Coturnix japonica: one gene and its partner. The protein of the gene in region 1 interacts with the protein of each later gene in a pairwise test. Links are inferred from orthologs where the notes say so. Each region holds a gene or a part of one and is shown on either strand. Other genes may lie near its edges.

Region 1 (4,766 bases):
CATTGCACACTCATCCTCACGCTGATCTCCATCCCATCCTCATCCCCATCCTATATTCATTCACACCCCCATCCCACCTACATCTCCATCCCCATCCCCATCTCCACCTCATCCTCATCTTCATCCCATTCCCATCCCATCTTCATCTTCATTCTTATTATCATCCCACCTTCATTCTCATTCCCATCTCATCTTCATCCCCATCCCATCTTCATCCTCACCCACATCCTCATCCCATCCTCCCCATCATCCTTATCTTCATTCCCATCCCCATCCTCATCCCATCTTCCTCTTCATCTTCATTCTTATTCCATTCCATCTCATTCCTCATCCCCATTCCCATCTCATCTCATTCTTATTATCATCCCATCCTCATCCCCATCCCATCTTCATCTTCATCCTCACCCACATCCTCATCCCATCCTCCCCTTAATCCTTATCTTCATCCCCATCCCATCCCATCCTCATCCTCATCCCTATCCCACCTTCATTCCCATCCTCATCCCATCCCTATCCCATCTTCATCATCCTCACCCATCACATCCTCATCCCATCCTCCCCTTTTCATGCCCTTCATCCTTACCTTCCTCCCATCTCCATCCTTACCCCATCTCCATCCCCATCCTCATCCCATCTTCCTCTTCATCTTTATCTCCACCCCCATCCCATCTTCATCTTCATCCTTATTATCATCCCATCCTCATCTTCATCCCCATCCCACCTTCATCTCCATCCCATCCCATCCTCATCATCATCCCTATCCCATCCTCATCCCATCTTCATCCTCATCCCATCCTCCCCTTAATCTTTATCTTCATCTCCATCCCATCCCATCTTCATTTTCATCCTCACCCATCCCATCCTCATCCCATCCTCCCCTTCATCCTCATCTTCATCCCATCCCCATCCTTACCCCATCTTCATCCCATCTTCCTCTTCCTCTTCATTCTTATCATTCCATCTTCATCCTCATCCCCATCCCATCCTCATCCTCATCCCTACCCCATTCTCATCTTCATCCCTATCCCCATCCTCATCCCATCCTCATCCCATCTTCATCCTCACCCCCATCCTCATCCCATCCTCCCCTCCATCCCATCCCCATCCCATCCCCCCCCTCACCCCATCCTCATCCTCATTCATACAACGATGCCCCGCCCCCTCATTAAGCCCCGCCCCCAGACTACAAGGCCACGCCCCCAATCCTATTAGCCCCGCCCCCTCTGCTCCGTTCTGACACCTGATTGGTGGCCGCTCCTCGCCCCAAACCCTTCACTTTGCGCATGCGCAGCGTGGGGTGCGTCACCTCCAGTGGGCGGGGCTTAACGTGCAGGGCGGAAGTGGGTGGGAGGGCGGAAGTTAAACAAGGCGGAAGTAGGTGGGAGGGCGGAAGTAGTAGGGGCGGAAGTTAAACGAGGCGGAAGTAGGTGGGAGGGCGGAAGTTAAGCAGGCCGGAAGTAGGTGTGCGGCGGCGCTCTGGCTGCCGGTACCGACTCGTTGGTTGGGCCTGGAGGCCGCGGCCTGCTGTGGCCCGGCCCGGTCCGGAGGTAAGGCCTGAGCCCTGCGACCTACCCGCCCCCAGGCCCACCCCCATCCCGGAACCATGGAGAAATTCGGTATGAACTTCGGAGGAGGCCCGAGTAAAAAAGAACTGCTGGAAACCATCGAGTCGCAGAAGAAGCAGCTCCTGAATTACCAGGCCAGGCTGAAGGACGTGGTCATCGCCTACAAGAGCCTCATCAACGAGAAGGAGGCCTTGGAGGCCAGCCTGAAGGTGTTATCGGCGTCCCACGAGGCCGACATTGGGTTAAATGGGGCTCAGGCTCCATTTGTGGCCCCCTCCAGCTCTTCCTTTGCCTCCAGCTCTTCCCTTCCCTCCAACTCTTCTTTCCCCTCCAGCTCTTCCCTCCCCTCCGGCTCTTCCCCTCCTTCCAGCTCTCCCCATGTTGATCCCATGGATGATAAGAGCTCAGTTCACAGCGAGGACAGCATGGGAACGGCCGCCAGCGTGGACACAACAACCAGTTTGGGCAGCACGAAGGGCGAGCAGGGACCTGAGGATGAGAAACACGCAGCAGCTGTTAAATCAGATGAGGGGAATGGTTCCGAGGTCGGTACTGGTACCAGTAACAGCAATGGGGACGTGCCCTGTGCTGCCATTGAGGCCGATAAGCGGGTGCTGCAGCTGAAGAGCCAATTGGCCACATTGACCAGCGCCCTGTCCACGGTGACGCAGGAGAAGTCCCGCATGGAAGCGTCATATCAAGCCGACAAGAAGAAGATGAAGCAGGACCTGGATGACGCCATTAAAAAGGCGGAGGATGAGACTGACAGGTTGGAGACGGAGCTGAGGGTTGTACAGGAGCAGCTGGCAGAGACCAAAGCTCGACTGATCACGCAGCAGCACGACCGAGCCCAGGAGCAGAGCGACCACGCTGTTATGCTGAGGGAGCTGCAGAAGCTGCTGCAGAGCGAGAGGGCGTTGAGGCAGGACGCTGAGCTGAAGCTGGAGGAGACCAGGGAGGCATTGGCCGGCCGGGTGTGCATGGCTGATCGTGCTGAGGGCTACGAGCTGCAGATCAAGCAGCTGAGCCAGGAGGTGGAGGAGCTGAAGAGAGAACTGCAGGCTGTTCAGGAGGAGAGGAAGAAGCCGGACCCCCGGGTGCAAGACCTGCAGGAGGAGATGGCCAACCTGAAGAGCCACTTCCAAGCGCAGCTGCTGCAGGAGATGAGGAAGGTAATTCCCTGCTTGAGCCCTAGAGCAGCCCAATGTAGGGGGTACCAGAGCAGCAGATGGAGGCTTGAGGAGCCCAAATTCTCCCTGTGCCACATGCCACAAAGTCCGAAAGATTTCAGATAGGAGAAAATACCATAGTTTCATCTGATGGGATCATATACCCTGAGGAAAATTAAAGCTGTTGGCAATGCAGTGTATAAATCAGTTAACCACGGGTGGTTTAGGAGCAGTCTTTGTGGGAGTTACGTGGTGAGCATCGCTTGGTTCCGAGCAGCAGCTGGATTTGGGAGGAGAGCAGTGGCAATGAGCGTGCTCTCATCATAAATGCAATGCAAGGTTCGGTTCGGACTCTCTTAAAGGGAACTGACCTCCACATCCCCCTGCATGGAACTGTAATAGGTGAGCGGTGAGGCAGGTGGGCGATAAGGGCGGCCTGCTGAGCGAGGTGCTGGGCTGTGCATCTTGCTGTGTGTCTCTGCAGGCTGTGGGGCAGAGGGATGGAGGGCTTTGCTGCTGAGTTGGCAGCTGGAAGGACACCAGCATGGGATCCTCATTTCCCCACAGTCTGGAATAAGTTTTCAGCTTTCTAATCTGAAGCCTCTAATTATCAGCTTCGGGCTGATGGGATGCGATTAACCTTGTTTTGGAAGTGATACCCAGCAGCTTCTGTACGACAGGGCTGAGGATGGGCTGATCCCAGCTGTGTTTTGGCTCACAGTGGGGACTGAGGAGTGGTGCCACCTTCCACGTGCTCTTTAGGAGGTCAGATCTCGATGGTGATAGAAGCTGTGAGCTCCAGTGTTTGCTGTAGCTACTCAGAGCCCACTGAATTACGTTAATATTGGTGTAACAAAGCTTAGCATTTAGGTACAGTTAGGTGTAGGAAAGCTTTAGGGCACACTCAGACATGAAAAAATCCCACAGTGAGGTGAGCTTTGTGCTTCATGCCCTGCACATGCCTCCAGCAATGCACATTAATGCTGCTAACAGCAGGGAACAAATACAGAAACGCACTCGGTTTGTTTCATCCTTGAGTCTCTGTTTTAAAGATGGGCGTGTGAGAGTGTGGGGTGGGGGAGGATTGTTTGGAAACTAGGGAAAGGGTGTCCCTGTGCTTGCTTGGAGTTGTTCAGAGCAGAATGAAGGCCTGTGTAATTGCAGGGTGGTCTAACACCGCTGCATTTCTTTGCTTACAGACTGCACAAGCAGAGGAGCAGCTCCGGCAGCACGCCCAGATGGAGGAGCAGCGCGTGGCCGACCTGGAGGGGCAGGTCTCTGAGGTGTCAGGGCTGCTGGGCACCTACGAGAAGGCCAAACAGAAGGACCAAATGGTCATCCAGAAACTGAAGGATCGCATCGTGCAGCTGGACCAGGAGAACAAAACCTTGGCCATCGCAGCCTCCAGCCGATCCCCTGCTGATGTGAACGTGGAAGAAGCCAATCTGGATGTGAACGTTCTCAAGGATAAGATGGAGAAGCTGAAGAAGCTGCTGCAGGTGGCAGCAAAGAAGAGTCAGCCCACGCTGGACATCGAGAAGCTGTGTGAGCTGGAGCTGCCAAAAGGTACCGAGGCCGGGGATGGTGAGAAGGCCACGGCTCTGTACTATCAGCAGGAGCTGAAGCAGCTGAAGGAAGAGTTTGAAAGGTACAAGATGAGGGCACAAGTGGTTCTCAAGAACAAGTCAGCCAAAGATGGCAACCTGGCCAAAGAACTGGAGGAAGCTCAGGAGCAACTGGCGGACCTGAAGGAGAAATACGTGGTGCTTCAGCTGTCCTCCGAGGAGGTGGAGAAGCAGCACCAGCTGGACATGGAAGCCAAGAGGCAAGAGTTCTGCCAGCTGCAGCAGCTGCACAGGCAGGAGCTGGAGCGCTGTCAGCTGGAATACAGGGAACGGGCACTAAAGCTGGAGGAGGAGATGCACAAACAGCGGGACCGGGCGCTGGCGGTGCTGGCTGAGAAGGACCAAGAACTGGAGCAGCTGAGATCCGTCATGTTGCCTTACACCGGGCTGCAGGGCTCCAAGAACTA
Region 2 (4,210 bases), about 170 Mb from region 1:
TAAGGGATTTTTTTTGACCATACAGTCACTTAATGAAGATTAGAATGGAAAGGCAACTTAACATCGTCCACCCATGACAGCGTGTCAGTTCTTGACTCCCACATGGGCAAAGTTTGCTGTTTAACCTGCTGCATATGACAGCTTTAATATGCGAATGCAGAAGCAAACCTTTTGTTTGAGCTGAAGACTGACAGGAAGCCAAACCAATGCTTTGGCACAAAAATAGACCAAGCATTCACTCAGTCAGTTGTTTTAGCTGGAGGGTATAGCTCAAGTTGTGCAGCAAGAACGTGTCTCACTACATCTTCAGTGACAGAAACACTGTGGAAATTCAGTGATATTCCCAAAGCATTTTTCTCCTTTCCTGCAATCAAATAGTATTCCAAAATCCCCCTTCCAAGCTCAGCTCTCAGAATGGTTATATCCCACAGGTAACGTAGAATCCTCAGCTATCACCAAGAGGTAAGCACTGAACTAAGTCTCAAACAACCTGAAATGGAAAGGTATGAGAGCTCAAAGATACAGGATGTGTTCATTTCCTAGTAGCTGGCTACTAGAACAAACACCCAACCAGGTCTACAAGGCAGAAAACATCTCTGGTGTGAAGACAGCTCTACCTCTGTGCTTCAGTGCCCTGCGAATCAGCATTTGCTTGGCAGCTGAGAAGCCAGCATGTGCATGGCTTCAGCAGGGCAGCTGCTGCTTCTCACCACCTGGCAATTAGGGAAGATAAGAAAAACAGGAGGGGTAGGCAGCACAGCCACAACAGGAAGCTCATTGCTTCTGCTGCTCACAGAACAGCGCTCTGGTTTTGTCTCATGGTTAGCATTAAGACAAGATGACTAGCAACAACAATTCTTTAAAGCACACAACATGCACATATATTCAAATTATAGATGATATGCAAAAACCAGAGCCCTTGCCACGCTTATAGAGAACAGCCTCCATCATCAGACACAGGCATGCTCAGATCCTCTCAGTCAGCTGTCCAGGCACTGCAGGACTACCATTACACTGCTCTTACACTAATGCACTTGGGAGTTGCACGCTCTGATGAGGAGACCATCACATGAATGTGAATCTCAGTACCTCCTTTTTACATCTTTATGTGTCTTGAAGGCAATACTGAGTAACAGCTCAACGATTAAAAAGCACACACACAACCTCTGTTCAGTCAGAGTCTGGATAACACTTGCACAGCAAGGTTAAAACAGGAACATGTTTGAGTCCAGAACTATCCCCAGTACCACCTTCCAACAACACACTGCCTGCTCTAAAAGGGGGGAGAAAATCAGCAGGTAAAAGCCTCTCCCTCTTTAAAGCCTTTTGTAGTTCTCATACTTCAGAGTCCTGTGGTGTCTCTCCAGCAGTAGAAAGGATGAGGATTGGATTTCAGAAGCCAACAGCACAGATGGTACAAAGAAACAGATATGACCGAACATGGCCATGCTGAACTTTTAAAAGCTACTGGTTCAAAATGTATCCTGAAAAAGCAGATTAAATGCATTGCCAGCCAACCAGGGCTGGAGGGCAGGCAATGCCAGACTGCAGAATTCTGCCCACAAAATAACTGCATTTCTTAAGGCAAGTGGCAATTAAAAAAAAAAAAAGAACTAACAAACACAAACCAACTGAAAACAGAACCAACAACACACACAGCTCTGTTATTGTCATATAGCTACAAAGTGCTGCATACAGTAAGCAAGATTTTTATCTGTTACAGCACACACAACAGACCTCTGCCATGGACTGCATTGTAGTAAGCCTGGTGTACTCCTTCTCCAACAAGTCCAGCTTCTCCAGCTTTGACTGAACACGTGATTGATCGAGCCGTTCTCTCTCCAATGAATCCTTGAAGGAGAAGTAAAAAGGCAAATGATTATAAGCACAGGAAAACAAGCACACATATAAAATCAGAGAATTACCCAGGTTGGAAAAGACCTTAAGATCAACAAGTCCAACTGCAGCCTAACCATAGTATCCTAACTCTAACAACCCTCTGCTAAATCATATCTGAGCACCACATCCAAATGGCTCTTAAACATATCCAGGGATGGCGATTAAACCACCTCCCTGGGGAGCCTATTCCAGTGTTTAACCATGCTTTCTGTAAAGAAGTGTTTCCTCACATCCAACCTAAACTTACCTTGACACAACTTGAGGCCATTTCCCCTCATCCTGTCACCGGTGAGAAGAGACTTGTCCCGCTCTCACTTTAAGAACCTTTCAGATACTGGAAGAGAGCGATAAGGTCTCCCCTCAGCCTCCTTTTCCTCAGACTGAACAGCTCCAGTTCCCTCAGCCTCTTAGGGCTGATTCTCCAAGCCCTTCACAAGCCTCATTGCCCTTCTCTTCTGGACCTGCTCCAGCACCTCCATGTCCTTTTTGTACCGAGGTGCCAAAAACTGAACACAGTACTCGAGGTGAGGCCTCACCAATGGTGAGTACAGGGGCAGGATGACTTCCCTAGTCCTGCTCACCACACCATTCCTGATACAAGACAGGATGGCATTGGCTTTCTTGGCCACCTGGGCACATCACTGGCTCATATTCAGCCAACTGTCCATCAGCACACCAAGGTCCCTTTCCATCAGGCAGCTTTCCAGCCACACCTCCCCAAGCCTGTAGGGTTGCCTGGGGTTGTTGCAACCGAAATGCAGGACCCAACACTTGGCCCTATTGAAACTCATGCTGTTAACCTCGGCCTTATAACTGCAACACAAGGAAGGACTGCAAAAGAACTACTTCATCTATCCAGTGTTAAGTGGTGCTACAACTAAGGAGCATTGGCACAGTAAAATAAGGCATTGCCACGGCTGGGAACTCCACCCATGCTGGGAATCTCACATCAAGCCAGACTCAGATAAAGATTCTGCAGCCTCCCCTCCTTCCAAACCAAATATGACAAAAATAAAATATTATTGCTCAGCAATTAGAGGCAATTTTCTTTATTTTAATCCTTCAGTAAATGTTTAATAGTCTGAAATAGGGGAGCCACAGAAGCAAATGAACAGAGAGCCCTGGGTGATCCACACACCCATGAGAGAAAGTTCAAGTTCATTTCTGATATAGGGCAAATCCCACAATAGCCAATGACAGGAAAAATAATTCACCATCATTTCTTTCAATTAGTACTTTCCCTGATAAAATCTCAATAGATTTTAAAGCCAATGACAAAAGGGAAGGTTTGTCCATTGACAGTTATTTTACTCCAAGGCACAGGAGCTAAGGCAAGTGAGAATTACTTGCTGGTGCATGACACAGTAATACCGGAGCCTTTGGTATTGCCATAGAGACAGATGTACAAAGGTAAAAAGCAAATAAATACCAGGGTCCTAACAACACTGAAAATTAAACAGGGCAATTATTCACAGCCAAGTATATAAAGGCCAGCTCAAACAGACATCCACACCTGAAGGCATTAACTCTAAAATATAAGGACAGAGTTAATACCATTATAGTTTTTTGCCCATTCAATCCTGAGAACACACCTGCTTCTCCAAGAGCTGCGTCTTCTCCCTTTCCGCGTGCTGGATCATCTTTCTCATGTAGTCCAGCTGTTTCTCTAACAGGCTGTACCGAGACTCAGCAGCCGCCAGCTGAGAAGCCAGTTCTGCAAGTAACAGAAGGCCAAAAAGTGAGATTAAGGGCTGCTCGTTGGGGTTGTTTTTTAACATCTTCAGGACGCTTCAAAAACAAGCAAGGAAAGGCTCATCTAAAACTCAGATAAAGCCGAATCAACTCTTACACACATGCAAACCCCCCCAGAACAAAGTCAGCTTTTAAATCAACAAAACTCCATGCTTCGCTACCAAATAGAGACCGAACAAAGTCAGCTTCACACACTGATGAAGCCCAGACTTCATCCACCTCAACATTCAGTGTTACCTACAGCAACCAACCTTGATTTTTCTTTGACACTTCAGTTCTGTCGCGCTCTCTGTGCTTCATTTGCTCACTCAGTACTTTCTTGTAGTCTGCTGTTTCTCTGCTGAGGTGTTTGACGTTCTCCTCTGCCTGAAGCCGTTCCAACTCCAGCCGACGAATTTTCTCCTGAAGATTCCTCAGAGCAGAAAATATTGCTGTAATTGAGTGAGTATCTTTTGTTAGTTGCTATTATAAGCATGGTTCAAGTTTGATGTTACCTTGAAAGGTTTGCTACATAAGAAAGAGAGTGCTCCCCCCCACCAGCCAGGATTGCCTCCATGAA

Evidence for each region. The genes of interacting proteins can lie anywhere in the genome.
Region 2: the proteins of GCC1 (region 1) and CEP57 interact in binary tests that used the Homo sapiens proteins (3 or more experiments, as listed by UniProt). The two-hybrid records come from large-scale screens. The link is inferred for Coturnix japonica from reciprocal best matches to the Homo sapiens genes GCC1 and CEP57.

The regions. Positions count from the first base shown.
Region 1 is NC_029516.1:516,825-521,590, forward strand, and holds the start of GCC1 (GRIP and coiled-coil domain-containing protein 1), read left to right. Parts: upstream 1-1,410; 5' UTR 1,411-1,603; coding exon 1,604-2,737; intron 2,738-3,933; coding exon 3,934-4,766. UniProt on the Homo sapiens protein: Probably involved in maintaining Golgi structure.
Region 2 is NC_029516.1:165,700,385-165,704,594, forward strand, and holds part of CEP57 (centrosomal protein of 57 kDa), read right to left. Parts: intron 4,083-4,210; coding exon 3,903-4,082; intron 3,614-3,902; coding exon 3,492-3,613; intron 1,852-3,491; coding exon 1,738-1,851; intron 1-1,737. UniProt on the Homo sapiens protein: Centrosomal protein which may be required for microtubule attachment to centrosomes. May act by forming ring-like structures around microtubules. Mediates nuclear translocation and mitogenic activity of the internalized growth factor FGF2, but that of FGF1.